Linked DNA regions of Oryzias latipes. The protein of the gene in region 3 purifies or fractionates together with the protein of the main gene of each other region. This does not show direct contact. Links are inferred from orthologs where the notes say so. Each region holds a gene or a part of one and is shown on either strand. Other genes may lie near its edges.

What was found.
Region 1: the proteins of polr2d (region 3) and rprd1b purify together in Homo sapiens (affinity purification with mass spectrometry; 3 studies listed by BioGRID and IntAct, counting the BioPlex papers as one, with this or other methods). This does not show direct contact. The link is inferred for Oryzias latipes from reciprocal best matches to the Homo sapiens genes POLR2D and RPRD1B.
Region 2: the proteins of polr2d (region 3) and mediator of RNA polymerase II transcription subunit 26 purify together in Homo sapiens (affinity purification with mass spectrometry; 3 studies listed by BioGRID and IntAct, with this or other methods). This does not show direct contact. The link is inferred for Oryzias latipes from reciprocal best matches to the Homo sapiens genes POLR2D and MED26.
Region 4: the proteins of polr2d (region 3) and polr2m purify together in Homo sapiens (affinity purification with mass spectrometry; 3 studies listed by BioGRID and IntAct, counting the BioPlex papers as one, with this or other methods). This does not show direct contact. The link is inferred for Oryzias latipes from reciprocal best matches to the Homo sapiens genes POLR2D and POLR2M.
Region 5: the proteins of polr2d (region 3) and rpap2 purify together in Homo sapiens (affinity purification with mass spectrometry; 5 studies listed by BioGRID and IntAct, counting the BioPlex papers as one, with this or other methods). This does not show direct contact. The link is inferred for Oryzias latipes from reciprocal best matches to the Homo sapiens genes POLR2D and RPAP2.

The regions. Positions count from the first base shown.
Region 1 is NC_019865.2:7,638,443-7,644,189, forward strand, and holds the end of rprd1b (regulation of nuclear pre-mRNA domain-containing protein 1B), read right to left. Parts: intron 4,476-5,747; coding exon 4,300-4,475; intron 3,060-4,299; coding exon 2,910-3,059; 3' UTR 1,807-2,909; downstream 1-1,806. UniProt on the Homo sapiens protein: Interacts with phosphorylated C-terminal heptapeptide repeat domain (CTD) of the largest RNA polymerase II subunit POLR2A, and participates in dephosphorylation of the CTD by RPAP2. Transcriptional regulator which enhances expression of CCND1.
Region 2 is NC_019875.2:6,540,973-6,547,443, reverse strand, and holds the start of mediator of RNA polymerase II transcription subunit 26, read right to left. Parts: upstream 3,558-6,471; 5' UTR 3,272-3,557; coding exon 3,200-3,271; intron 1-3,199. UniProt on the Homo sapiens protein: Component of the Mediator complex, a coactivator involved in the regulated transcription of nearly all RNA polymerase II-dependent genes.
Region 3 is NC_019878.2:10,413,444-10,419,843, forward strand, and holds polr2d (DNA-directed RNA polymerase II subunit RPB4), read right to left. Parts: upstream 3,881-6,400; 5' UTR 3,745-3,880; coding exon 3,666-3,744; intron 3,133-3,665; coding exon 2,952-3,132; intron 2,881-2,951; coding exon 2,785-2,880; intron 1,872-2,784; coding exon 1,793-1,871; 3' UTR 1,288-1,792; downstream 1-1,287. UniProt on the Homo sapiens protein: Core component of RNA polymerase II (Pol II), a DNA-dependent RNA polymerase which synthesizes mRNA precursors and many functional non-coding RNAs using the four ribonucleoside triphosphates as substrates.
Region 4 is NC_019861.2:21,378,349-21,384,645, forward strand, and holds polr2m (protein GRINL1A), read right to left. Parts: upstream 3,488-6,297; 5' UTR 3,377-3,487; intron 3,292-3,376; 5' UTR 3,245-3,291; coding exon 3,138-3,244; intron 2,406-3,137; coding exon 1,872-2,405; intron 1,757-1,871; coding exon 1,534-1,756; intron 903-1,533; coding exon 759-902; 3' UTR 384-758; downstream 1-383.
Region 5 is NC_019875.2:5,938,212-5,943,619, forward strand, and holds part of rpap2 (putative RNA polymerase II subunit B1 CTD phosphatase RPAP2), read left to right. Parts: intron 1-55; coding exon 56-91; intron 92-164; coding exon 165-1,008; intron 1,009-1,107; coding exon 1,108-1,199; intron 1,200-1,393; coding exon 1,394-1,474; intron 1,475-4,390; coding exon 4,391-4,459; intron 4,460-4,661; coding exon of another isoform or gene 4,662-4,770; exon of another isoform or gene 4,771-5,408.

The DNA.
Region 1 (5,747 bases), on a different chromosome or scaffold from region 3:
AATAATTCAGTGTTTGGAGGGAAGAAATCGTTGTTTCATTGTTGTAACTAGATGAACGTGACTTTAAATGAAGCAGAAAATGTAAAAATATGTGCAAGAAATAGTGAGCAACTGCAAACTACAGCCATGGAAAATGTGTATATAGACTTTAACAATAGCTGATACAACAAATCGGGGGTGTTTAAGCAAAATGATACAGAGCTGAGAGCAGATTAAGCTCAGATGTGCTTTTATAGCAACTGATTTAACACAAATGGTGAAGCTCATTACAGGCACTATAAAAGAACTACACAGGATGAAGGTTGAGGTGTCACTTTCTATTGTTAATAGAGATTACAGAGTGCTTTTTTTATTTATTTATCTTGCATTTTTGGTTGGTGGTGTGTCTTGTGAATTTCTATCAAGGAGAAAGTGAACCTTTGCTCAGAAAAAGTTGGAAAATTACAGCCCCCCATCCTGTTAGCTAAATAAAATTAAAAAAACAAATGTTGCATAAAAACTTTTCACATTTTTCTGTTCTTCTCCATTTGATTGTAGCTGTTTTAACATATTGGGAAAACCAAAGCAAACTTGCAACACAGCAACCAGAGAGGGTACGTAATTGCATTTCTATTTTCCAGTGCGCAAATAAACAGTTGTGTGCTTTGTGTAATTTTTACATTCTTTTGTGAGATCATAGTATGTAAATGAACAATAATATGTAAATGAATAATGTAAAAAATAACTAAATCAGTAAAGTACAACAATCCAAACGTTGGTTTTTAGTTGGCTGAGTCTATAAAGCGATGCAGACTAATACCTCAAACTAATACCTCAAGTCATAGTTGAGGAAGTAAAACAAGAAAACCCCAGATATCACAAAGATATATGAAATAAATGATTACAAGTGTCAAAGAAACAACAGAGACCATACTTAAAGCTTGAAAGGGTATAACAACAGAAACCACTGTACTGATTGTAAATAAAACTGTTTATGACTGGAAAGAAAAAGAAGAAACACCTAAAAATCTGAAAACACTAGAACATAACTCAAAAAAAAAGACTATTTTCACTTTTTTTCTAATTATTTATTTGACATTAGCTAATAGGCTATTGCTTTGTCTCATTATGACAATCAGGGATCTTATATGACATATTCCTAATAATATCGCTGAGGGAACTGTTGCTAGATTTTGTGCAACTGCTACATAATATTGAAAATAATGCAATTCTAAAAATATATTTTAAAAAAGCACTACAAGAGTATACCTGGTCCAAAACCAATGTGTGTTTCATCAGGATGACCGGTACACTGATTTCATTTAAATAAATCACCTCAAAAGGAATTTGTCCTTTATAAAGAGCACAGCCACACAGCATGGTTTGGAGTTTGGTATAGACACCATTTAATGTTTTCCCCACAACATGATCAACCTGGTTTTCTGAGGTACTGAATACTTACTGAATCCCGCTCATCCAAATGCTGCGGGTCTTTAATGACATGGTATGTTTGAATCTTTTCCTAACAGAATTTGCATCATTTACTTTGGGAAAGTATCTATTATTTCAGTTATAAAAAAAAAGACTTTCATCGATGCTGCAAGTGTTCACTTACTTTGGAAATCTTTGAGTAAAATTGAAGAAATTAAAAAAACTTTCCTTTCTGAATCCAACAAATAAATTTTACTTAATCGTAAATGAGTGTGAAGAGAAGAACATTCGATGTGGAATCTGCAACTTTAGGGATGATGCTTTCAGTAAATTCAATGCTTCATTCACAATAACACATTTCACAGAAAAGAAATAGAAATAATAACACGGCAAAAATACAGCTGTTAAACTTTTAATTGCATTACTTCCTTAAACATGGAAACCTGAGATTCAATAATCATCCATTCAAATAAAAATGGCTACTCACAATTTTCATGGCTTTAAATGCAAATGAAAAGCTTTTCAATTTTTTGTAGGAAAAACGACATTCCAGCCAAACATGGTTTGTTTTCTATCAACAACATTTGCTGTAATTAAAGAAGTCAATTGTAATACTTTTGCTGTGCTTCATATTTTCCTCCTAAAGAGTATTGACCTTGAGTTTAACATCATAATTGTCATTTTCAGGTCTTTTACTCTTGAGTTTCAGTTTCAAACACTTGTTTCATAAAACCGCACACCATTCTGAAATAATCACCGGTTCAAATTGTTCTAGTCAAGAACATCATCTCGATATTTCAAGCTTCTCCACCAAAGGCCAAAAAGTTATCTGCATACCTGTCCTTATCATAAAAATTAATTTTCCATTTTTTGCAAGTGAGCACAACACATCAGTTTATCTGTTGACTTAAAAACATCCATAAATGTGGTTTCTTCAGGTGTTTAGGTGACTGATTGTACTGAGTAACAGCTCTTAAAACAACCTAAAAGCAAATAAACTTGACATTTTTCTACAGCTGAAAGGGGGAAAAAGGCCCATTCTGACTGTGTTGAAAAAGCTACCAAATAACGGACACAAACAACGCTAACAGGTAATCCTCTTTGTGATGAAGTCAGAACTTAAAACCATCCAAAAGAACAAAACGCCCTCCTTTGTTCACTAAAGGCTTGATCACAAAAGAGACCTTTTCTCAAAACCTACATTTAAAAGAAATAAAATCAATCAGGAAACAATCTTCCAGGCTGGTGGGTTAGAATCCTTTTTAATGAATCCAGATGTAAAGAGTCTCATTTCTCCTTGTCAGAGCTTTTTTTTTTTTTATTAAACAAAAACCTATTATAAAATGTCCCTTCCTCCTGACGGCTGGTTCCAGATACTAGGGGGGGGCAGCAGCTGTTCTTCCAACACGTGTCTTTTGGGATGGAAGTACAGCTGGGAGTCAAACAAGGTTCTGACTTAGGTAGGGCCACACTGGAAGTTTAATGGGACAGAAGGCCCCTCAGTCGGTGGAGAAGAGGTCTCCGGCTGAGGGGAGCGGAGCTAGACCCCCGGTCACATTAGGTAGAAGCGACAGATCCGGGAGACTCTGGATGTGAGATTTCAGCTCTTTTCTCACCTGGGTCACCCGCGCTAGTTTCTGCTTATATTCCTGCAAAGAAGATCACAATACGGTTTAAACATCAGTTAAATATTACACTTGTGAATATTCTGTTATAAAATCTAGAACGGGGTCTGCAACCCGCAACACTTCTCACCAACCACAACCCAATTGGAGCCATAATGTCAGACTTTAAAGAAAATAAGGCTCTGATTAGTATTTACGTTATTGTTAATATTACTATAAATATATTTTTTATTGTTTTTGGCATAAATAAGACAAAAATAAAGAAAAAAAATTGTCATAATTCAAAATATGAAAATGTCTGTCAGAGGTTCACATGGCTTCCTTTCAAAATAAAAGGCACTCTGTTCCACTTAGGATCATCTCAATGCAGCAAATGTACATGTAGAAAACTGTTTATTATGGCATTTGTGGTGCTTCTCAGGCAGAAATTGATAAATGTAACTAACCAAAATTAAATTATAACTACCGGTAAATAAGTGACCCTTACAGTATATTCTGAAGCATAAGGCGCACCTACAACCCTTGAATTTAATAAAAAATATAAATCTGCTTTATAACCTGGAGTGACTTGAGTAGGAATTATGTTTGTACTTAACAACCTCCAGTTGATTTTCTGTGATAAACAATGCTCAAAAGTCTGCCAAAATGTTTTAGGCTAACTTTGTTAAACTGCTAAATGGATTGTTGGAGAATTATGATTTCTGGGGTTTGGAGCTTTGCAGAGTGATACATAATTTTACTTTACTACTATATAACTTTTTCTTTAATCAGAGAGCCACAAAATGAAGGTAACAGAGCCACATGTGGCTTTGGAGCCTCAGGCTGCAGACCCCTGATCTAGAAGTATGTGCACAAAGGTAAAACTATTTGTAAAGGTTTTCATTCAACATATTGTATGACTGACTTTATTTTTTTGTCTTTATCATTTGGTAAATGCAGGAACAATAAAGCAAGGTCAAAGTCACACAAGAAGCTAATAAAAATGTGTTTTCTTAACTAGTAATCTAATTGAAAAATGTATTATATTTTATCAGCTGTTATTCTTGGTGCATCCATGTATCCAATCCTTTATCATTTTTATCTTTTTATACCATTTATACCATCTTTTAACTTTATACCATTTAAACAAAAAAAATACACAGTGTGTATATATTTCTGTTTGCTAACATTAAAAAAATTGGTCAAAAAAACATATACATATTTTGTACTTTTATATTAAAACTGACTAACAAAAGGAGTATTTTTCTGTGAAGTCTGTGTTTACCTCTAGTTTCTTCTCTCTCTCCATGAGCGCCTCCTTCTGGCTGCCGATATATTCCGTCAGCATTCGCGCCAGCTGCCTGCGGTCCTCCAGCTCTGCAGCCAGCCTACCATTGTACTCAGCCAGCAGCAGACAGGCTTCATCCACCGTCTTCGAAAGCTTGTCTGCTGCTTCCTTGTCTAGAGGAAAGTAAACAATTAGGTCAAAATTTTTTTGAAAAGATGCCGACGATTTTAAATCATTCTACATGTTGTTTTGTATTAGAAAACATTTATATTTAAAATAATAGCATATTAAATATGATCTACAAATATATATATATTTAGAGTATATGTATATTTAGAAATCGCATTTATGTTATGTCCATAGATTGCACCACATTTAATCTTAAATGGTTTTACATATTTGAAAATGAAATGGTGTGTATTCATATATGCCATATTTTTTGCGTTCCTTTTCATAGTTTCCCACTAATCCTCAGGAGTGACTTATGAATGAATTTATAAAAGAAAAATATTAGCCTATACACTATATTACCAAAAGAATTCACTTGCGCATCCAAATGATCAGAATCAGGTGTCCTAATCACTTGGCCTGGCCACAGGTGTATAAAAGTCACACATCACCAAATGCAATACAAAGCGTCTGATGCAGTGGTGTAAAGCACGCCGCCACTGGACTCTAGAACAGTGGAGTCACCTTCTCTGGAGTGATGAATCACACTTTTCCATCTGGCAATCTTATGGACAAGTCTGGGTTTGGAGGTTGCCAGGAGAACAGTACATTTTGGACTGCATTGTTCTGAGTGTGAAATTTGGTGGAGGCAGAATGATGGTGTGGGGTTGCTTTTCAGGAGTTGGGCGTGGTGCCTTAGTTCCGGTGAAAGGAACTCTGAGTGCTTCAGGATACCAAAACATTTTGGACAATTCCATGCTCCCAACCTTGTGGGAACAGTTTGGAGCGGGCCCCTTCCTCTTCCAACATGACTGTGCACCAGTACACAAAGCAAGGCCCATAAAGACATGGATGACAGAGTCTGTGGATGACCTTTACTGGTCTGCACAGAGTCCTGACCTGAACCTGATAGAACAACATCAGTGTGTGACCTCACCAATGCACTTTTGGAAGAATGGTCAAAAATGGTCAAACACACTCCTTAACCTTGTGGACAGCCTTCCCAGAAGAGTTGAAACTGTAATAGCTGCAAAAGGTGGACCAACATCAAATTGAAATCTATGGGTTAGGATTGAGATGGCAATTCAGTTCATATTTGAGTCAAGGCAGGTGAGCCAATACTTTTGGTAATATAGTGTATTTTTGTTATTTTCCCACCAAAAAACCTGTTGCCTTTTAGAGGCTGTTTCCCAGTTACAACCACTGGAGGGGACTGTAGGTGTGACCATCAGTATTTGCTACTGATAGTAATGCAGAAGAAGGGCCTTCCAATACAA
Region 2 (6,471 bases), on a different chromosome or scaffold from region 3:
TTGATTATGCTACAGAAATTCTTTGCTAGCATCCTCGTCTCCTCAGTATCCGCCCTGCAGCATGAACCGCCGTACCACAATAAGTAAAAAGTTTGTTACTGATGTTCAAACCTGGTAATCGACAAGTTTTAATAAGTTAACCGTCCCAATAGGGATTGTAAAGTGCAGCGCGTTTGTCTTTCTCCTTGCCCCGCCCTTGTAGGACCTGACCAATGACAGAAGAGATCTTTAGTCACATGGTTTTGTTAACAAACAGGATACTCTGCTTGATGCCAGTTTGAATACAGACCAAAAGCTAGATTCAGGACTCGATCCAGGAACAAAACAAGAGAACTCGATCCGGGAAAAATTAACCTCCTCCACCTGGGGCAGGAGCACCCCACCCACCCAGAGAGGACAAAGTACTCCTAAAAGGCTGTATTTTATAAATGTAATAACAGACCTGATTCCACTGTTAACCTTTTTAGCAGCATCTTTTTAGCATCATGGAGTGATGCTGGTGTTGTGCTTAAGGGGCTTTTCCCACTTTTACTGACGTCACAATATGAGGAGCCACTCGATTGGGTGGATTGGGAGCAGCTGGTACTCAGAGAGCAGGTTTTTGAAATGCGTGAACGGAACAAAATACCGCTTTTGAGGTGTTTTTCGTAAAGAATTAAAATTATAATACACTTCAAAGCTCAAAAAGGTTGATTTTTTTGCATGATAAAGAATACAGAGTTACACAAAAAAACATTTTCCGTTTACTTAGAAAAGTTTCGCTTTTTAAAGGATAAGTTAGCCCTGAAAGTAATACCTACGTTACAATAATACTTGAAACTTGTTGATTGCCAGCATAAAGCGGTGCTGAAACACACCACAGTACCAAACCTTCCTGAGCTTTTAGTTAAACACAACTGTATTGGGGTTTGGCTACAAAAATGACCAAAAAATCAATGAAGAAAAACCATGACAATGAAAATTTTGGATAGTATGTTGCATGTTGTGCATGTTTATGCACACAAACACATCCTAGTAATTTCACTATATCTCAATGCCACACATAAATTGGTCACTACACATGAAATTCTTCTTTAGAGGAATAAGAATTGCTGTAAACTTAAAAGTTGAGCCTCACAGTCCAAAATCTCTTAATCATCCAGACAAGATTATAGTGAATTCCTTTAATTTCTCGACCTGACTCAAGTTAATATTAAACTTTTAGGGACAGAATTGTTTAGACTGGTAAATGTAGCACCTCTAAAAAGCTGGAGTGCCTCGTTTTCTGCCTCTATTTTAAATGACAGTTTTGCTAAATCGACAACAGTTCCCCTGTGGCCTGACAGGGTTAGGGGGTCGCTGGGTAACTTTTACTGTTGTGTTGGTGAATCTCAGGGCTAAGCTAACAGCTAGCATGCTAAGGGACTGCCATGACTAACCGAGGCTAAGCTAATGGAGGTGTAGCTCGCCGTGTAGCTCTATCTATTCTCCAGAGGCACGCGCCTCTCTGTCAGGGTCAGTGGCGGTTCTACCCTGAATTACTCCCCGGGCGAGACCCTCCCCAGGCGCCCCCCCCCCCCCCCCCCCCCCCCCCCATGGTCAAAACAGAACTATGTCTTTGTCAACTAACATGTTTTCCGACATGCTCATGTTTTCCGTCTTCAATCCTTTGATTGGCACATTTTTAGTTATGACCTGTTACATTATGTTTTGTCCCCATAGAGTTGCAGTAAATGGTAAATATTCATTTTTAAAACTACCTACAGATTTATGGAAATTCTATTGGCTAAAAATATAACCCAACATTTGTAAAACAAATAAAAAATAAACTTCATATGCTGGCTCAAAATTAACCCCTAAATCCCCAGTTAAATGTCAAAAACACATTGTGAAAACGTTTAGGCTGCCACAAATGATTATTAAATTAATGACCAATCTCAAATTATTTGCCCCATTAGCATCTTATGGCAGCAGCAGCATGCTGTGTAACCATCACAGCTTTTTTAACATTATGAACTAGTATACAACAGCAAAACACAACAAAACCGTTGTGTTACAGCACAGCAGACAGACACATGAATCATAACTAATGTTACAAGTTAAGGCAGAGCAAATTTTTAAGAATAAAATCTAAAAAATCAATAAAAAATGACGCTATTTGCAACATTTGGGCTTGATAGAACGGGCTTGATGCATGTTTTAGAAAAAACATGCATCAAGCTTTGAGGGCTTCCCCTTTTCTTTATCTCTTTTCTCCTCTTCTTCTTTTCTTTTCTTTCTAAATTGGGCACCAGATGGCTTTGACCTTTTCTTCTCCATATTTTAGATGTTTTTGGCGATTGTTTGGCATAAATGTCCTCACGTCACGAAGAAGGCATCAAGTCCGTCGACTGAACCAACTGTCACCTTAGTGACAGCATTGTTTTGTGTTGCCATTTTTTCATTTGGGCATTTCACATAAAATTAACCCAAAAAAGAAGAATATATTTTTTATACCTTTATTAAAATGTAGGTTATAGAATGTCACCTTATGACTGACTTATAAAAAGGTTTTATAAAGTAGATTCAAACCCCCGCCCTTGTCCCCACCTAGCCTCTTAATTTGGAAGCGTCCCACAATTGAACTGATTCCCCGCAGCCCCCCCCCCCCCCTTTCTTCACACATTTTCAGCAGGAGCGCGTGCAGCTACAGCCAGGGGCGCTGATTCGCTACATTACTTTTATTTTTTTTATCAAGCCCGCGACCGTCGCCTCCTCTGAAAGATGAGCCAGCCAGGGTTTGCGCATGCGCAAACGCGGCGGCGCTCCGTGCTCACCCCGCGCCCCTTCCCTTCTCCTTCTTCACACACATTTGTGTCTACTTCTCAAAGACAGGAGAGCGCAGCTGCGGGGCGGCGGCGCGGCCAGGTTCAGGCTGTTACAAACTCACAAACTGTGACATAAGAAAACCAATAGTGGTGCATATAATATTTTACAAGGGCTGAGCTGCCGGTGCCGCCCCCTTCAGTTTTCCGCCCCAGGCCACCGCCCGGACGGCCCGTGCCTAGAACCGCTACTGGTCAGGGTTTTTGAAAAGTCATCTTCAACTATACTGTGACAGAAACGTTTTCCTTCAAAGTAGCACAACACGTCAAGCGTAAGCAGACGTGTTAACGTACGGAGCGTGTAGGTAAACAAGCTAACACTGGCCGGGTAGCCTGTTAGCAGGAGGAGCACTCACATTGCTCTGACTGTCGATGGCCTGGAGCAGCCGGTCCCTTATCTGCTGCGGGGTTGTGGATACCGTGGTCATTGCCTGTTTGATGCGATCCGGATGATGGAGGGAGGAATCCTCCAAAATGAAAACCGGATGACAACGATGACTTCTTGACTGCTTCACGAACACGATATGCACCCGAACCGCATGTTTCCCGGAGCTTGGAAGGTAAAAGGTTCGCTTTCCTCACATGGAGCTGGAAATGTGTGAGCGGGTTTGACCGTTTGTTCCAGTCTGACAACGGGCTCCCACAGCTCACTCCGAGGTGCTGGATCTCTCTTGGCCTCCTGTTGCATGCTGGGATACGATGCCTGCGTCATGACGTAGGCACGCGACAGAGGACACAGAGTTGACAGTTTCTCTCCACAGAGTTTTTTTTATATAACTGAAATGTTGCCTGTTCCTTAAATAAATAAAAATTATATATATCGGTCCTGCACTTAACCAACATGTGTGTGTAAATATACATAGATGAAGGAGCGATAGCTGTGTCCTAGATTTTTTATTTTTCCATATATAACACAGAATCATTTGTTTTATAATTTTGAACCAACCGTCGGGAGGTGGCAGGGGCATATTTTGGAAAATATACAGCAGTTTTGGTAAAATGTTCATTTTGTAGACATTAGATCAGTGATGTAGGAAGCTGCATTCATCTATTAATACTGTCATTTATTTCTTTTGTTATGGAATCATTATTGTTTTGAACTGTTAGTGCTATGTTTGGAAAAATGTTTATACCTAAATATTTAAATGAGTGGACTGATTTAAAATGCATTATTACTGCTGGTGGCCTTTCTCTTTGATTCTCGTTCAGCAGTAAAATGGACGATTTAGATTTATTTATGGTGTAGCTGGATATGTAACCACACTCTTCAATTAATTGCAGACGAGCAGATATAGATGAGTCTAAGTTGGAGAGATGTAAAATAATCTATACCAATCTACCTAGGCTGTGTCCCACCAAAGTGGGGTAGCCTTGACAGGGCACCCATTCTTACCGCCCTCCTTCTCTTCCCCAAACCCTCCTCCTTCAGTGTGTGCGTGTGTGCGCGTGTGTGTGTATGTGACCGGTCTAAGGCCTGGTCTAAGCCACACCACACTGCACCAGGGTCAGCTGCACAGCCCAGTGTGGGCACCTCCACAGCAGGGCCTCAGCCGAGGCTGGTTTCCCCTTGCCGCTTCATCCCAAGACCAGACCTCTACCACACCCATCCATTCATTCATACACAAACTCTCTCCACCCATCCCTGTCCTGAGCAGCCTCTCTCCCATGCACCACAGTCATCCCTCTTGCATTCAGCGCTCTTTTTACACCCTCTGTCCATCCCATTCGCGGTCTTCCTCTCATTCTCACTCCACTCACATCAGATTCGTACACATGTAAAATAATATCAATATAAAACAATATCAATGACAATCTATGTTCTACGTGATTAATCGTAATACCAGAGATGGTTGGATGAGCACGTACTGCTATGGCAAGTGGCTCTATTGCTAGAGTGAACAGCAGAGGTGACAAAGGGCATCCCTGCCGACACCCACGTTTAATTTAATAGGAGCAGAGATATTTTTGTTTGTTAAAATGTCAGCAATTGAGCATAAAGTTCAGCATAAAGATTGCAGAATAAGTTTTTAAATTCAGTATTTATTTCCTTTGGGTGCACAGGGTTGTCCCATTTTTGTTAATTATTGAAGTTATGTTCTTTTGGGCCTCCGTTTGTTTAATTTGCCAGGCTAAGATCTTTCCAGGTTTGTCTCCTTGCTCATAGAGAGTTTGATTGAGGCTGCACGATCTGTTGATTCCTTATTATACTCAGCTCCCAGCATTTCTAATTCTTTTTCAGCTTGCTGATCTTTATTTTTACACACTTTCTCCTCAGCTGTTGTTGTTCTATCTTCTAATTGTATTCTTTTTTGCGCAATTCTCTTGATTTTGATGAAGTAAAGGAAATTATATGCCCTCTTAAAAAAAAGCTTTAAATGCCTACCATCTTACACTGGCTGAAGTTTGAGTAGTGTTCATGGTAAAATATTAATCTATTTTATTCCCTACAAATTCAACAACATGTTCATTCTTAAGCCATTTTCGATGCAGACACCACCTGGGTGGATGCATTTTGAGATTAATATGCAAGTACAAAATGCTACATGGTCCGAGATTGTTATACTGTCAAAAAACATTGTTTTATATTGGATAGTAACTCTGCTGAAATTAAAAAGTAATCTATGTGAGAGTATGAGCCATAAGTTTTAGAATAACAAGAATACTCAATATCTTTGGGTCTTGTGTGTCGCCACATATCTGCCATTTTTAATTCCTTCATGAAATTCTGTACAGCATTCCTACTTCTTTGGTGAGTTTGGTCAAATCCAGATGATCTATCCAAAGAGGGATCCAAGACACAATTCCAGTCTCCTCCTAGGATACTATATCCTTGGAGTGAAGAAATGGTTACAAAAAGGTTTGTAAAAAATGTGTTATCATCTATGTTAGGCCCATAGACATTCACCAGGTTGATAGTCTCTTTTAGAATGGAACCTTGAAGAATCAGAAATCTGCCAGATGTATCTTTAATAACATTTAGAACTTGAAAAAGGAACAGATTTATGAATTAGTGTGATGACGCCACATGCTCTTGAGATATGAGATGCTGAATATAAAGACCCGTGCCAATCTTCTGCCTGTTTTGACATTATCCTCTTCCAGAGTGTGAGTCTCCTGGAGGAATTTTAGACCCAATATCTTTTATCTTATTCATAACCGGTTGAATTGTTTTTGTTTTGTTCAAGACCCTGCAGTTCCAAGATGTGCATTTAATTTCAAAGTTTTGTGTCACTAAAACGATGTTAGATAACATTTCCTGCATTTATAAACAGGTCTGAGAGGTAAAAAAAACGCACAAACAATGTCACCAAAGAGATGAACAACATAACACTCAAAACCCCTTCCCCATTTTTCCCGGCTAACTGGGCAACCCCATTCTGCTTCCGGCCGCAATCCATTACAAACTTATTTGTTTGTGAAATCAAACCCTCAACCCCACTCGCTTCTGATAGCTTTAGGATCAGTATGTCCTCAAAAATTAGGTATATGATGGAAAATAAGATAAAAGTAAAAATGAAAACATAAATAAAGTCAATGTATACATTTCCAATGTTAATAGTAACAAAAGGCAAGCAGGTACAACTTTTAAATGTGTTTAAAATAGTGTTAAAATTGATTAACATAAAAT
Region 3 (6,400 bases):
ATTTTTGAAGTAATTATTCTTTTTGTCTTATGTTGTATATGTATGTTTATATATTTATATACTTTTTGTTTTATTTCTTATATTTTCTGTAATATGTACACATTGCAATTTCCCCTGAAACATTCACAATGTTATTGTATTGTGTTGTTTGTCAATAAAGTATAAAAAAAAATGTACGAGAGAGACGTTCCTGTTCCGTGCTCAGTCAATGGTTAATAAATATGCCCAGAGGAGGCTAAAGTTAAAAAAAGAAAACTAAAATTAAACGTTCATATTAAGGTGGGGGCCGCAAAATATCATCTTGGGGGCCGCAAATAGCCCGCAGGCCGCGAGTTTGAGACACCTGGTCTAGAGGCTCTAATAAGTAACTTCCTCCGACCCTAGATTTTTTTGGAGATGTTCTTTATACAGAAATGTTGGTGCGTAAACAAGATGTCAGGATGGCCGAGCGGTCTAAGGCGCTGCGTTCAGGTCGCAGTCTCCTCTGGAGGCGTGGGTTCGAATCCCACTTCTGACAAATGTCTTTTTAGGCATCACGCTTGTGCATCGCGATCTTTTAGAAGTCAGTAGTCAGTAAACATCAAAAATCTCTCCTTCATCGATGAGCCAAACATTACCAAAATAAGACTTTAGTGAACACTGTGAAAACAGCATTAGCTCGACAGCTGGCAAATAGGACATAACTTAAACGTTGGAATTTTATTTTGTAATGTAAATATAAATAATTAAAAACGCATTTTTGAAATTACTTCTTCAAACAAGAGGAAACAATGTTGTAGTTAGTCTTACCCAATGCTGGCCGTTTTTTTATTTCAAATTTAACTTTATTGTTCCAATGGTAAAGCTTCAGTTACTGATGGCATTCAAGTCTTATTCCTCTGAAAATGTTGGTTCGAACCCCACTTAGATGAGTCATGGACCGTAGTGAGTGTTCAGAAGAACAGTTTAAAATGTACCCCCCAATTCTCTCCCTGCTGTGTCCCTGGGGCCAATGCTAATACTGATGCTATATCACGTCTTTACATTTTTTAATTTATATTGTGTATATAACTTTTTTTTTTTAATGGACAGCAATCCATCTAGGAATCCTTGGTGGAGAAGGGAATGACAGCACCTGTGATTCATTTGCTGCATCTTTTCCTGTTTCACCACCTACCTACCCTTTAGCTGTAATAAAGATTGGAAGATTTGATGAGATCCCTCCCTGCCTCTGTCCCTATGGTCCACCGGCTCTCCTTCTCACTTTGTGATTCTTTTTGTTAAAAGAGCTTTACAAACTTTGCTTGGTTGTTCCTTGGTGTAGTTTTTTTAAATTTTTATTTTCAATCAACACAATAAATCCAGTTCCCTGTTCCGCTCCTAATAAGCGGTTTGGACAGACAACCACACAAAAGCACTAAAAGGGGTTCTCCTGGGACAAGAAGGTTCTGTTGGGAATCAATTTTGCGTGGACTCTGACTCGAAGGTGGTCTTGCAGGTCTGAGCTGGCAGTACGAGTGGGCGGTGTTCGGGATAAGCTCACTGATGATGGATTTGAGTTTCTGCCCATAGGTACCCGAAGGAGCAGAGCACAGATACAGTTTTCTTATCAACATGTGCTGGATTTTCCACAGACCGGATAGAATCAGACACACAAACAGCATCTTGTGTGCCTTTAAAGTACATCAAGATTCTGCTGGGTGGTGGGTGGATTAAATGTTCTGTGATTTTTCTGGTCCCGGTGGAACGTGAACCACGCTGCCTCTGTTAAGGAGAGTTCTGGAGGTCTCAGGTCCAGCTGCTGGTCCTGGTCTTAGTACTGGAAGCTCCTCTTGGTCTGAATGTCATCCAGGATCTGTTGCAGCTCTTCATCCTCAAAGCGACCCTCCAGACTGAGAAAAGAAGCAGAACCCGGCAGAACTTTATTCTCTCAACGATGAATTATTTGATAAGAATTGTAACAACATCACCTGCAAAACGATCCATATCTCAGTAAGATACAGTGGTGGACAAAATTGTTGACAGACTGACTGATTATGAGTTTGAAGACAGCTATGATGTCAATTTAAGGACATACCTGAGTTCATCATGACCCCCTGGGCAATTAGTTCTCAGTCTGTTATGGAGGTACCATCATTTTTGGCCAACCCTATTTCATTAGCTTTTTTTTTTTTTTAAATAATTCTGTCAATCAACAAATTAAAAAGCTGATTTTGATTATTTCATTTTCATTAAATTTTAATTTATTGTTACTTTTGAACATTTCAAGTCATTTTAGTGAGAATTCTGGAATTTGTTTCTATAACTGATGGGTACCAACAATTTTGTCCACCACTGTATATTTTCACAAAAATAATGATCACTAAACAATCTAAAATAACTTATCTGCTATTTTTTAATGCATAATAATTTCAACAAGAAACCAATTCCTGACAAGTAAGAACAGCATAAAACTACATGTCTGTGATGAATTGATCCAAAATGTTTTCTGATCCAGTTTAGGATAATCTCTCAGGTTTTCTCTTTGAATTAATTCAATTAAAGCTGCACACGTCTGCCCTTAATGTAAAATAGTGTTACTTCGACATTACTAAATAAATCTCCTTGGCATCCAGACTAACTTATACTTTTACTCAATTTACTGAAAGTGTTAAAATAAAATAAAAAGTCAAGCCTCCCAAAAATCCTAAAATCACTAAGGTGTTCAGAATAATCTGATGTCAGGTGAATCTTTTCACAGATTGGTTAACGAAGACCCTGTAATTTATGGGTGAAAAGAACAAGTCCGGTTCAGTCCAGACTCACCTGGGGGTCAGAGCTTTAGCCTCCTCTGCAGCTTCAGGACACAGATTCGCCAAACTGGCCAGCTCAAATTTATGGAGCTTCTTCTGCAGGAGGAGACTGAGACAGACAGAAAGGCCATTAGGACCCAGATCAGGGCCAGGACCTGGGACCAGAAGGGGCATCCTTACCTGCGCACGGCAGTGATGGTCTCGCGGTTCTTGAAGCGGCTGAAGCGGGCCGTGTAGTTGAGAGTCTTCATGAAGACCTCGGACAACTCCTGTTCGTCCTCGGCGCTCTCGTTCTGCTGCTTCCTGTGCTCCAGCAGCATGTGGACCTCCGAGTTCAGCAGCGTCTCAGAGTTCTCAAACTCTGCAGACAGCAGGAGGGGGCTGGTTAGTCACTGAATTTGAGCTCAGATTCTACAGAATATCAGCTCCAGAACCATTTTGATTGAAAGACAGAAGGATTCCTGCAGTGATTGTGGACTGGAATTTAAGGCCTGTTTCAAGAAGTAGGACAAAAATCCTGCTGATCAAAGTCAGCCTGTACTATTTTAGGAAGCTTGTTGAGTCTCAGACCTTCCAGGACAGCAATCCATGTAAATTTAAACTTATAGTTTACTCTCAGCAAACAAACAAATAATTCTATCTTGATCAGTGGACCAAACATCATGATGATCACAATACATGTGTGTCAGTGAGAGAAACATTTAACCAGTACAGATGATGATGGTCGTATAATGAAAATATTCAGATTCAAATCGGTGATGCAGCTTACATAAATTAATAATCAGGGGATGATTATCCTCATCGGTCACATATAGCAACGTAATTGTTTCCAATACAGGTTACACTGTAACCTAACAAAAAGTTTCGGAAGTAAACAGTATTTGTGCGCGCCACCTTTGGGAAACAGCAACTGTGACGCGTCTTCTTCGACGTCTCCCACGTGCGAGGAAACCGAGCTTCCAGCGGCAGTCATGTCGAGTCACAGTCACGGGTCGCAGAGGCGCGCAGTACCGATGAGCTCCGTCAGCTTCTCTCGGAGACTACGGTGAGAACGTTAACTGTGCAGAGAACAACGGCGCTCGGGGAACTTCCGGTCACAACACCGATCTACTTCCGGTGATATTCTTCCTCTGCTTTCTTCTGGTTTAGGCGGGTGTCATCTAGCAATAATGGTGCGCTTCTGCTACCTACTGTCCTGGAAGATGAAGTGTAGGAACTCCCCTCAAACACAACGATAGAACTGTTCAGTCATATATGCCCTTGTAATAAATAATTTATTTCCTTGTAAATAAATGTTAAAGTTAAAGATTTAAAGAAAACAATTGTATTTTTGTGTTGAAATTGCTTGTTGATTGCATGTACTTTGAATCTTTTTGGGGATGAGTTTCATTTGTGGTGTTCAAATTCCTCTGTTCAAGTCTCATTAAAAAAGAACAACATTCTTTTTGGTGTAATTTCACATAACAGTCTGTTAAATTTAGTTTAAAATATTTTAACAATCAAAAGCAAATTTTATATTCATAAAAGTAAATTATTAAAAACCAAACCACTGTTTAATGTGTTTCTTAAGTAGATTTGTTTAATTCATGAAAAGTAAAAAAGCAAGAAAATGTTTCAACTTTTTTAAAGGCATTAAATTATATCAAAACTCTTCATATTTAGGTGTTTTTTAGTTGACTCTGTCTTTGTTTTGCTTTCTTGTGTCTTTATTTGATGATCTATCTCATTTTTTGTTCTAAATGTTCTAACTGTTTTACATTTATGTTTACAGGTTCCTAACTTAACATTTGTAGTGTTCAATAATAAAAGACCATGTGAGCTCGCCATAGCATAGACCTGCTGAGATTTTTGGTCCCTGATATTCATTTTAACTTTATTCATCTTTTCCCCTCTCTTTTGAATTTCTTACTGATATGTTTGTCAGTGTTATTTATATCATATAAAATTTGTATTTTTTTTAACCATGTGACCTTTAAAATACAAACCTTTATTTTATAACTAAAAATGTTCTTTATCCGCATTATTAGTTTTCAACAGTTTCAATTGCTTCTTGTATTTCCATGTAGGTACATTATCTTGCTGTGACTGGTCTTTATTCCTCTCTAGATGCTTCTCTACCTGCTCCTTGCAGGTCATAAGGTCATATGCAGACTTTATTTAGTCTTACTTTATTTATTTATTTATTTAGTCTTACTTTAGTCTTTATACTCCACCTGAAGTTGCCACACGTTTTTTTTCACAGCTACACTGGTAGCAAACACTTCTGAAACTCTGTAAACTTGAGAATGAATCTGTAGCAACTATTATTTTCTCACCTTTTGTAATCTCCTGCAACTCCACCAGGTGGCGTGGTGATTCAAATTTCAGAACGGTAGGGTTGGAATGTGTGTGAGGTTTTTACATTTTGTGTGTCCATTGTTTTTTCCAAGACCTTCAGGTTCCTGAAGGGGTTCAAAGCATGTTTTATTGGTAAATTAGGTACTCTACTCTAAAATTGTCCCTTAAGAAGTTTGAATAGACTTCTGATGGTCTAGTAAAGTGCTTAGAGTTATGTTGTTTATGCCCTGAAGTAACTGGAATGGACTCCATGCCCCCGTAGTCCTGCTCAGGACTATGGGGGCATGGAAGATATGTCTTTGTAAATTCCAGACACAGTTGTTCTTCAGTGGGCCCTTTGGAAAAATGTTGCATTTAATTCACTTGTGTTTCATTCTTTATGTTATTACTCTAACAAAGCTCGTTTGTAAAATGCTAAATTATTTGTACAAAACTTCAATAAGTTTTAATAACGTCATTGTTCCTCAGCAACAAATATTGAAAGAACATTGAAAGACCTTGAAAAGTTGCAATTTAATTGCATCCTCAGTGAATAACTCAAAGGATGTTTCGGGTATTTCTTCTTCCCGGCCCCTTACTCAGTCGACCCAACCAGTGGTGATCAGTCCCCATTTTCTATCTAAGCAGCATGTTATGTCATGGCTCCTCTTCATGAGCCACTTTGAAGCTTTTTTAGCTTCTCCTCTTATGTTTCTGGTGGACCCTCTCTGCAGCCACCCATGATGTCAAGAAGCCTGTAAGCCTTTTATACAGATTACCCTAAAACAGGAGTCTGCAACCAAAAGAGCCATTTGAGCCTGTTCATTACTTATCAAAATCTACTCAAAGCCACAAAGTCCTATTTTAACCTGTAGGAAAATTTGATAGTGCTTTGCATTTATTCATTTTTGTTATAGATGTGAATTTACATTTATTTTCCTGGCATGAAGAGCAACTAATGTTTTCTCACAATGTCAAATTGCTTTTTGCTTTTGACAGAAGGTAGGCAGTATGACTTCCTTTTAAAATAAAAGGCTTCCTTAAAACGAAAGGTTTTAAACAAGGCGAGACAAAAACAGCTTTTTCTTTTGTTATTTCCCATATGTCTACTTTGGGGAGCCATCATCTTTTTTCTACTTACTACTGTTCTTGACCTGAACATAAACATGAATTCATTGTTTTCTTGATCCAGTAGAAAAAGTATATAAAGCAAAGATTAGACTTTTTACCAAAATTTGCTCAGTATTTGAAATTTGTGTATTCAGGAGGACGCACAGAGCGAACAAGGCCTCTTCATGTCAGCAGGAATGTGG
Region 4 (6,297 bases), on a different chromosome or scaffold from region 3:
TGGGTGGACAAAAGGAAAAACAATGCATGCACCTCCACACAGAAAGGACTCATCTGGGATTCCAACCAAGAACCTTTTTGAGCTCACTCACAATGCAGAATCTTCCCATTTCTCCCTTTATCATATTTCCGTCAAATTTACAGTTTCCGTAACGAAAAAAGATTGGCAGGATTAAGACACACGATTGCAACCTGAAGGTGATTTATGCAGCAGTGCTTCAGGTTTAAAGTATGAACCCCGTTTACTCCAAAATGTTACTGCAATCAGCCAAACATGTGCTATAGAGTTCATGTTTACAAATGAAAAAGGGTTTGTAAAATGCTGTTTGGTGAGTGTTGCTTGATGTAGTTGTCAGTCAGTAATGTTGTCATATAAACTCTAACTTTCACAAAGTCAGATGTTTTTATTCAGCTTACGTCTGCTGGTACAGCTGTAAACAGTCACAATGTCCCAAAAAAGTCAGTTCCACCTGCTGATCAACTTGAAGTGCATTTTTTTAATTTTAAAAGAAAACTTCAACTTAGAAAACCAATTTAGGATTTAACCTCACAGACTCTGGATCAGCTGAAGCTGTTATCTTGACAGAACTTGAGAAGACCTGAGCTAAACAGATCCATCATCCTAACTTAACATTTAGTTTGCTAAGCTCAGTCTATCCACATCTCCTTCATGCTAAGATGCATGAGAGCTCCACATAGTGAGGTCCAAAGCATCTTTGAGCCAAAGGGCCAACGGTTTCCTCAGCTGGTCCTCCAGGATCAGTCCTCCTCTGAGGAAAGCTGTGCTTCTTCATCGTGCACCTCTCTGTAGGCGCCCATGGAGCCGCCGTCAGGGTTGTAGCCCCCCACCGACATTTTTAGTCCCTCAGACAGTTTCTGGGCTGCCAGCTTGGCCTGCAACTCCTACAATCATACACAAGATTTGAAGAAAAAAAACAATAGGAAAAAGTGCATAAAGAGAGCAATAAACACTGAAATATGACTAATAATAATAAGATGATTTGACTCTTGCATTTACAGGTATTGGTCTGCATGTAAAGTCAGTGTCTGAATACTGCCCTCTGGAGTTCTTAAGGGAAAATGACAACTATGAAAAACCAAAATGAAACAAACATCAAATGATGTAGTCAGTGATTCATTAAAAACACATTTCACTAAGATTTTTATTTTACTTTGAACCAATTTATTCACTTTTATTTTCAGTTTTTTATTCAAACCTGCATAACATTTGTCAATGTGTGCTTTTGTGCAATGGCAGATAATAACATTTTGTTTTGAGACCATTTTAACAAAATAATAAAAAAGAATTTATGAAAATGCCCCTGTGGGCAAATAATGACACCTATATTACCATCAGTCCTGCACATATATGAAAACCTCCACAGTAGCAACTGTGCATTGTTAGAAAATCTTCTGAGTGGTCCACAACAAGCCCAAAATGATAGACATCAGTGATGAAGCCCTCTCAACACTTCACAGCCATTTTAAATGGCGAGTCATATTGATGTGTGTGAGAGGTTTCAGTCACACTAACCTGCTGCTTTCTGGTGTGTTCTACAAGTAAGGCAGCGGACTCTTCAAGGGTCAGGAGTTGGGCAGGATTGTGATGAAGAGGAGGGAGTTTGGCCGCAGTGACATCATCCAGGTGTTTCTTGTCCTGCTCCCTCCTGGCCTGAGCGGACAGCGGCGATGCATCTCCAGAGGGCTCACCTGGTGACGAGGATCCTGACGTTGAAACGTCACTTCTGTTGAGCAGCCTGAAAAGAGGGTTAAAACATTTTGATTTTCAAGGAATCCAGATGTTTATCCCTAATAAAACAGACATAAATGCAAATAATATATCAAAGTTTTGAAAGAAATAAAGTAACTTACTGATTTGGTTTGAATTTTTGCCTGATGGCATGTAAAGAGGACTCTCCTCTATTCAGGACAGCAATATAGTGAGGCTTCTTTGGTGTTTGCTTTTGGAGAAAGTAATTGGTTGTTGCTTTGCTGTTAAAGGCTTCTTTGGACTTTCCAGTATTGGACTCGGATACCTGGACCCTGTCCAGGGCTTCCACTAGCTCACTTTCTTTTATCTCTTCAGATTTAACAGAGGGTTCGGCAGCAGATGTGTCCATTTGTTTTTCTAAAGTGGCATCTTTCTTCGTTGGTGCTAAATCAGGTGTGCTTTCCGTTCCTCGTGAGTCCTCTCCTTCCTCATTTTGGTATGAAGGTGCTGATGAGGTGACTCCACGTTGTTGCGAACTGAAAGCTTGCTGGTACTTGGATTGTAAATCGCTCCTTGTAGCAGACAGTAAATCTCGCCTCCTCTCCTCTTCGATGCGCTGTTCAATGGCGAGACGCACGTTGTCTGCAAAATCTTGAATTTTTTTCCCTTTGTCTGGAAGAGTCTGTAATAACCTCCTAAAAAACAACAAACAATCATCTTGTAAAGAACTCATCGAGCAGTTATGTCACATGGCATTTATCACATCTCTGCCTCTTTTTCTAAAACAAACAACAACTTAATCTGTGATTTATACACAACACAATAAGCATCAGTTGATATGGTTTATGATACATTCCTAGCTATTTTGATGCAACCTCGAGGCCCACTGCAATGAAAATTCGGTTTTTAACGTGTTCTTGTGGCATTTTTCTCAGGATAGAGGACATATACATGAAAAAAATCTTGTTGTGATGTAGAAGCTACAGTCGGCAGGCCACAAGCCCCCTCCTCCTCCACGCCATGATGCATCCACTTGTAGGAGACTGGATCCAGATGATCAGAGGGGGACTCTAACATAATCCTCTTGCTATGATTACATTCACTGTTGAAAAGGGACATTTTTCGAGCAAAACATTTGTCTTTGGGAGTAACTTTTTGTTATTAAAAGTTAAAAGATGACTAAGAATAAACAATATAAACGAACATGTAGCATCTGGAATATAAAACATTCGGTTAAAGCCCAAAGTGGGCATTTTAAAATGTGCAGGTTTTACTTTTAATTTCTTAACAGTTGGTATAACGTTAACATGATGGAACCGAATGTGTTGTAACTATTTTTAACTGCTAATATACTATGGTCATTAAACAAATAAAAAAAAACTACAGGAAAATGTCTCTTTTGTCGTCTAATAAAAGGCCAGACTCACTTATTGGAGAGGATTTTTTCCTGTCGCAGCAGCAGCTCCTGCAGTTCTTCTCTGCTCTGGTTCCTCAGGTCTCCAACCTTCCCCTGACGCTGATCGGTCCACGACATTACTGATGGCTACCCGCTTCCAACTGCAGCCATTCCCACACAACGAACTGTAGATTAAAATTTGACTTTAAAACTATACGACAAAAACACTAGAAACAATTTACTAATAAAACAATCCGCTCTACGTGAAACCTTCTTTGAGTTCCACTCATGACAACATTTCAAAGTGGGACCTTCTTCTTCTTCTGCGGAAATTCAACGTCTGCTGTGACGCTCTTTCTCCCTCTACTGTACAGATCACTGTACTGCAGCTCGTTGGCCGTTGGAATAACACATGTAATTTGCTGCCCTCTGCTGGCCAAAGGTGGTCACGACTACCAAAAACGATCATGAGGAGAATTTCCCAATACAGTAAATTCAATTTCAGTTGTACAAAAAAACTAAATTTCCAACCGATATTATCGCAAGGTGAAAAATCTAGGAGAGCAAGAAACAATGAATCAAGTAATTACAATCTCCAGTTTTGTGGGAAAATGACAAAAGATTCAATCACATATCATTTTAAGTGTTTTAGAGGAAATAGTAACCATATGTCTTACTTAACCATTTTATTGAAGTTATCTTTTACTCAGATTACTGTGACAAATACCATGACTCGTCATTGATTGCATGAAGCACGTCACAGCACCAGTGGTGCCCACAAAATAATTTATTTATTTTTTTCTCCAACTACATTATTTAAAATGGTTTTATAATCCAATTTAATCCATAATATTTCATTCGGGTCAAATTGGCTAACTCTAGTTTTTTTTTTTCAATAAGTGACCAACAGATTACATCAAAGAGTATGTGTCGCAATCCTTTATGAGGACGCAAACAGACAATTGTGAAGTGAAAATGTAACAATTTAAGTGGAACAAATGAGAGCGACCGTTTACACTTAGTGGTTTGGATTAGAGGACAGGAAGACATGTAGACAACACAGGGGCAAACACTGCAACCACATGACAAAGACATTCCAGTTAGGAACTGTAAATGTATTAAATGCATTCTTAAAAAAAAACAAAGCAGAAATAAGAAAAGTATAAAGTGAGGCCCTTGTGCTATCTTATGGGGTCCAAATGACCCCACCCTAGCATTGACGTGTTATCCCTACCAGGACAAAGGTAGATAAAGGCGAAGAGGATTTCATGTTATCCTTGGACACCAGTGAAGATTACAAATCATTTAAGAAAAAACGTTCAGCGCACTGTCTTGTGGGGTCCAGATGACCCCACTCCCAATGTCAAAGTGCCTATGATAGCACAAGGGTTAAGGTCATCCAGGTCAAAGAGAACTTTTTCCTTTATCAGAGGAAGGCTTTAGTTGCATTGAAGATAAAGATGGTGTCTGCCTCCAGAATTGAACTGGGGAGTTGGTGCCACAAAAGATGAGCCTGAAAGCTGAAGGCTCTGTTTCCCTCAAAAAAAAAAAGACAATTAATCTCTTGTACCTGTTTGGCAGAAATGAATTAAACTATAAATATATTATCAATAAATCATTCTATCCCAAGAAATAAACAGCACTTTGTATTCATCTTTTCTTATTTGCTTAGTGAAAACAATGCATAGCAATACAATACCATGTCTTTTTTATTTTTTAAATATGACATTTTTTGCTCACGAGATCTTAGTTCTTTGTTATAGTTCAATATTCTGTAGATTTCTTGTTTCTTTTGCAGATCAGACCATCCCATCAGATTCCTTAAACAAAATGCTTAAAACAGGGCAAAAAAACATCCCTTTTGTAGATCCTAGGCTTTTTGTTGATCTTTTCTTTCTTAACCGGTGTTGTCGGTGTAACATTTTCCAGTATTGCATTCTTCTGTTTTCCACAGCTGCATTTCCCCTTTGGAAGGTTTCCAGCCAAAGCGTCAAACCATTTCCACCCAACTCAGCAGACAATGACTTTCACTTCAAGTTCCAGCTGTGTCCCTGACAGTGCAAAGTCCTTAAATCAGTTTTGCATGGGTAGAAAATGATTCTATAAGGATAGCCTTTAGCATAACATACATCATTTTATGAGTTGTTTGCTTTGATCTGCTATTCCCTCTTTAGTGGTCAGTTAAAGCTCCTGATTCTCTTTTAAGGTGGAGGTTCCATGCAAGTTTGCATGTACATTCCATGGACATATTTATTGAAGCACTACAAGAGGGTATTTACAAAATAATTTGAATTTATCTTCACAAAGAAAAAGCTATGTTACAGTAATTCATCAAATCAATTTAATCTTTTTTTCTTCCTTGTGTTTTTAATCTTTCATTAAAAATTTTAAAATAAGAATCTTTTCATTATTTATCAGTAAGTTCCACTGCGTCAGGAAGGGCATCCGGCGTAAAACATTGCCAAATCTACCATGCGACTCGTTCGCTGTGGCGACCCCTGATGGGAGAAGCCGAAAGTGGAAGAAGAAGAAGTTCCACTATTCTCCACTTTAAACAAATGCTGTTTTGGATTAAAATGTTAAATCAAAGCAGTGTTCGCTGAAATCATGTAAATTGATCAATTTAATCTAATCATAAACTTGTAAATCAAATAATTCAGTAATTTGGCTACAACATCTGTACTTTTTGTGACTTAGTTTGTGTTAAAGTCTTTCAATCAGGCGACTGAATCACAAAACTTTAGTTACCAAACTGTTTCCTAAATTGTGACTACCCTCATTAGTGTGTGGAGGATTACATTCCGGCAACCTTATGGTCTAAATTTGTAATGTGTAATAAAAAAAAAGAAGCATCATGAAAACTTTTCTGAACACAAAGGACTTTTATAACGATTGCAGAAGATTACAGTTTTTAAAAATGTAGAGTAACCTGGGTTTCCATTAAAGAGTCAGATTTTACAGATTAAAATACATATTAAAACCATGTTAATAAATACTTTTGTAAAATAATTTGTCAGGTTTGAAAACAACAACAAAATACTTATTTGTTGGGTAAAGCAAAAATACAAAATAATAAAAAAAGATACACAACTACATTTTAGCTAATGTCAAGTGAATAGCTCAAAGCTTATGCAACAATAAATCTCATTCAGCGCTGTACAATGGTTAGACACAGTGCAAACAAAGGAGAA
Region 5 (5,408 bases), on a different chromosome or scaffold from region 3:
GTAAGACTCGACGTTCGGGTGGAGTGTCTTTGTAAAAATTCTCTCTTGCCAACAGTCCCCCGAAGATCAGGCTGCTGACGGCAGGACAGAGGTGTGTGCTCGGCGCCCGCGGCCGCACGTCCCTCTGCAGGAGTGAGCGTAACGTGTTGCATGTGTGTGTCCAGTGGGAGCTCCGGAGAGGAGGTGCTGCTGTCAGATCAGCGCCTCAAAGAGGAAGACGTTGAGAAACCACAAGCTGCCGCCCCCGCTGAGCCATGCGGGGATCATCAAAGCTCGGCTGGAGATGAGAGCAGCGGTGGGGAGCAGGACTTTGTCTCCAGTGTGGCCTTCCAGCAGCAGAAACCCCGGGTTCACTGGGCTGACCGCACGGGTGAAAGCAAGAACGGGAGCCAAGGAGAGGAGGGGACGGACGGGACTGAATGTCTGAGTCGCCTTCCACAGGAGGACACGAGGGGGCCGCATCCTGAACCCCCACAGCTGCTCGGTCCCATCACAAGCAAGGCTGAGCCACAGGACTCACCTGAGCGCCCCCAACTGGAAGAGGTAACAGCTCAGATGAGGGAGTGCACTCTTCATGAGACAGCAGCAGCCCCCCTGCCGGGCCTCCACATCACCCAGGTGGGCATGAGCAGGCGAGGAGCTGCAGGGCTGCGGGCTCTGCTGGGGAGGCAGAGCTGCACGGGAGCCAAACGGGAGCCAGCGAGCCTCCTGGAGACCCTGAGGAGGACTCTGAAAGCCTGGTGCACCGATCACACCATCAGGTTCCTGCACGGAGCCGCCTGCTCACCTGCCCCCCGTCATCATAACAGAAAGGAAGAGGGGGAGTTGGATGAAGATGATGATGCAGATGACGTGATATTGACGGACGATAGCGGGGAGAAGAAGCTGTGGGGGACAGAAGGAGACTATGAGACGCTGCAGAGGCTGACCCAACAGATGGAGCTGAGAGTCAAGGAGTTCTACAAGGGGACCTGGGTTATTCCTGTGGAGGAGCCGAGTGCTAACCAGGTGAGGGGGGGGGGTCCCTGTGGACCTCCCATCAGACCTCTGTTCAGTCAAATAAAATGCTGAGAGCAAGTTGAAATAGTCCTGGTTTGTTCTTCACAGCAGAACCTGAAGGAACCGGTCCTGCCGCTCGTGGACTCCCAGGCTCAGCATCTGATCCAGAAACGCATCACCGTGGAGAAGCTCAGCAGCTGGTGCGTGCAGATGTGTCAGACATGAACGTCTTCATCTAAACCTCTGCCTCCCCCAAACATCTTCTGTTTCACAGGAGTCCAGACTCCTGTGACGTTTGATCATATTATATTTATTATAGAAGTCCGGACATTTGTCCAGCCGCCTGCCTGCCTGCTGCTTTGCTCCATAACCAATCTGCTCCTGTCATCTGCAGCCTCAGGACCATCGTAGGCCCGCTGCACCTCACCCTGAGTGATGTCTCCACAGACCTGAACGACTTGGTGAAGACATTCAGGTGGGTGACCTGCACATATGCACCGTTCTCGTCCATTCCAGATCATCCTGCGCGCTGCAGCCTTCCATTCCTGCTCCCCATCATCATGAGACTTGAGGAGGCCCGAGTCCTGCATGAACGTCCCACAGAGCAGCACCGACCCTACTCATTATCCTCAAAGAATAAGAGAAAGCCCAGGAGAGCGTCGTGGTTTCCATGTGGTTGGCTCAGACATATCAGTTAGAGACCTCCAGGGGGGGCTGAAGAACCACAGGTTGACGGGAGCCCCCCAAACCTTTACACCAGGGGTGTCAAACATACGGCCCGCGGGCCATATTCGGCCCGCCAGGTGGTTTAGTCTGGCCCACATGATGAGCAAAAATCTTAAGCATGTTTAAAAAAGAAAGCACGTGTCTAGTCCATTCCTGTGGCGAGTTATGATTTTTTTAAAGAAATAACCGAAATGCGCAATTCTGCCATTAGGGGGGGGGAGGAAAAGCAAAACAGGTGAAACATATGTTTGCGCATGCCAAAGGTGAAACCTAACAGTTCTTCTTCTGGGTAAGATGCAGTTTGTTTCCCTGCGAGCCTCAAAGCTGTTGTGTTGCTATAAGAATGAACAGTAGTGACACAATAATGACCAAAATGTTGTCCAAAAGAAGTGGATTGCTGAGCTTTCCAGGAAAAATGGACAGTTTTCTTTTTAGGCAGGGTGTTTCACTTTTTTTGCGTAGCCCCTCTTGAGGTTATTATCGGGATTGCTTCAGTGTCAGATGTAAAATATTAAGTCAGTACAAAACTGAATAGACCTTTTTCTTTTAAGAGAAATTCATTTTATTTGAGATCCATTGGCCTCTGTGAATGAATGTGTAATAATAAGTGATTAGGTTGGTGATGTTGGTAAACTGAGTAAAAAATCAAATACAAAGCTGTTATTTTGTTTTTATGCTAGTGGTCCGGCCCACTTGAGATCAGACGGCTTGAATGCGGCCCCCGAACCAAAATGAGTTTGACACCCCTGCTTTACACGATGACTTTTTCTGGAAACAGATGAGTTAGTCTCTTTTGGTTCAGAGAGATGAACGGACAAATGTCAAGCCCCTCCTCCTCATGTTTAGGGGCAGAATAGAAGTTTAGAAACTCACCTGCTAGAATTGGACACAAAACCAGTCTGTTAGCTGCTCTGGGGGGGCTCAAAGTCTGGAAAACTTTAAGAGGTTTTCCAGACTTTGAGCCTTTGTGTTCTCAGAGAGGATCTTCAGATGGAACCCCGAGATGTTTTTTTATTATCATCCCCTTTCCTTCAGTTTGTCTTTCTTCTGCGCAGACATCTGCATGTATGTTGTGAGGAGCCTGTGATGGACTTTAGTGCAGAAGGTCAGTCAGTGATCGTTCAGAGCTCTGACCTGCTGTTTCTGACCCCAGAGGAGAGCGAGCAGGCTGTGGTTAAACCAGCGAAGGCCGAGCACGTCCACAGACAAGTGCCGCTGCATTGAAGTTTTTGAGAATCCCATCAGCGATGGAGAAGAATCTTAATGATGACATAGTCCTGTGTTGTGTGAGCAGACGGTCTTTGTTGGGTCTCTGAAGAACATTTCTCCCAGAGGAAGCAGCAGACCTGCTGGGTTTGAGACTCACAGACTGGATCTTCACATCGTCTGACCTTTGTTGTCCCAATAGAACATAAAGCTGCTGTAAACAGGAGGCTGTGGTTGAACAAGGTGAGGTAACAACAGCGGGTCCGTCATTTCACCGTCACAGGACCGTTAGAGGGGGCCAGAATTCCCCCTTTAGAGATGGACAGAGCTTAAACTAATGACTGACAGCAAACTGGGAAAAAACAGGAAAAAATAAATAATAATTGTATTTTATTGGTTTTGATTTTTTGTTTTTGCTCACTCTGCATTTCACTCTGTTGTCCCTGCTCTTCCTGCACATCACTCTGCTGTTTCTGCTGTTCCTGCTGTTCACTCTGCTGTTCCTCCTGTTCACTGCTGTTTCTGCTGTTCAATCAGCTGTTCCGGCTGTTCACTCTTCTGCTCCTGCTGTTCACTCTGCTGTTCCTGCTGTTCACTCTGCTGTTCTTGCATTTCACTCTTCTGCTCCTGCTGTTCACTCTGCTGTTCCTGCTGTTCACTCTGCTGTTCTTGCATTTCACTCTTCTGCTCCTGCTGTTCACTCTGTTGTCCCTGCTCTTCCTGCACATCACTCTGCTGTTCCTTTTGTTCACTCTGCTGTTCCTGCTGTTCACTCTGCTGTTTCTGCTGTTCAATCAGCTGTTCCGGCATTTCACTCTTCTGCTCCTGCTGTTCACTCTGCTGTTCCTGCTGTTCACTCTGCTGTTCCTCCTGTTCACTGCTGTTTCTGCTGTTCAATCAGCTGTTCCGGCATTTCACTCTTCTGCTCCTGCTGTTCACTCTGCTGTTCTTGCATTTCACTCTTCTGCTCCTGCTGTTCACTCTGCTGTTCCTGCTGTTCACTCTGCTGTTCTTGCATTTCACTCTTCTGCTCCTGCTGTTCACTCTGCTGTTCCTGCTGTTCACTCTGCTGTTCTTGCATTTCACTCTTCTGCTCCTGCTGTTCACTCTGTTGTCCCTGCTCTTCCTGCACATCACTCTGCTGTTCCTTTTGTTCACTCTGCTGTTTCTGCTGTTCCTGCTGTTCACTCTGCTGTTTCTGCTGTTCAATCAGCTGTTCCGGCATTTCACTCTTCTGCTCCTGCTGTTCACTCTGCTGTTCCTGCTGTTCACTCTGCTGTTCTTGCATTTCACTCTTCTGCTCCTGCTGATCACTGTGTTGTTCCTGCTCTTCCTGCGCATCACTATGCTGTAGCTACTGTTCACTCTGCTGTTCCTGCTTTTCCTGCACTTCACTCTCTTGCTGTTGTGTGTGTTGATGCGTTGCTGCTGAGCTTATCCCTGTGTTTTTTATTGACAGGTTCACCAACACCAACATCGTTCACAAAAGCCCGGAGTGGACCCTGATAGCAGTGGTGCTGCTGCATGTGTAAGTCTGAGGTCTCGCCTGTGTTGGAAGCAGAAATCCAAAGCGTTCCGGGCTGCTGAATCCTGTTTTTGCCGACACTGATCATTGTTTTGCACTCGCCATATGGTGTGTGTTCACGTGTTACTGGCAGTTCATGAACAGTTCCGTGCTGCTCCCGTCTGAGTACACACATCCTTATCTCGGCCTGATTGCTCCTCTGCAGATCCGTGATGCCTGGAGGAGGACACACACCCGGTTTTAACACACACACTTGGCAAACGGAGGGCTTTGAATTTCCCCAGCTGGGAAATCTTCACCTGATGCTCGACTGAAGAACATTTATGGCTCCTCTTCAGTTTGCTTAGTTAGTATTTATTTTAAAGGAACACAGGAATGCTGCTGCTGAAGAAGCTTGAGGATCACATTCCAAACTATTCTACAAAGAAAACTTTTCCAAGATTTTATAAATAGTCAAAGCAAATAACAGTCAGCATAAAAACATTAACTGTTAGTGTAAATAAAACGTTAGCAGGCATTTCTCCCAATAATAGTGTGTTTTTAATAAAAATTTTAAAATGCACTGTTCCAAATTATTACGCACAACCGTTTTCAAAGATTCTGTAGATGAAAATGATCATTTGACCGCCAATCATTTATTTCGAGGTCATATTTACTAAACTCAAAAGACATTACAATCAAAAACATCTCAAGGGTTCTTCTTTTTGTAGAAAGTGGTCAGTCAGAACAGGTCAGAACAGGTCAGAACCTACTTTTCTGAGGTCATTTTCACACCTAAAGAGCCCGACCAGCTCTTTCCCCATGATTCCGGCCCAAACCATTACTCCACCACTTCCTTACTGACATTGCTGCCTTGTAGGAACACGGTGACCATCCACCAAATAGGTTTCCATAGAACTGCAGGCCTCTGGAGGATCCTACACCTGGATGTTTGTGGGACTCCAGAGACAGC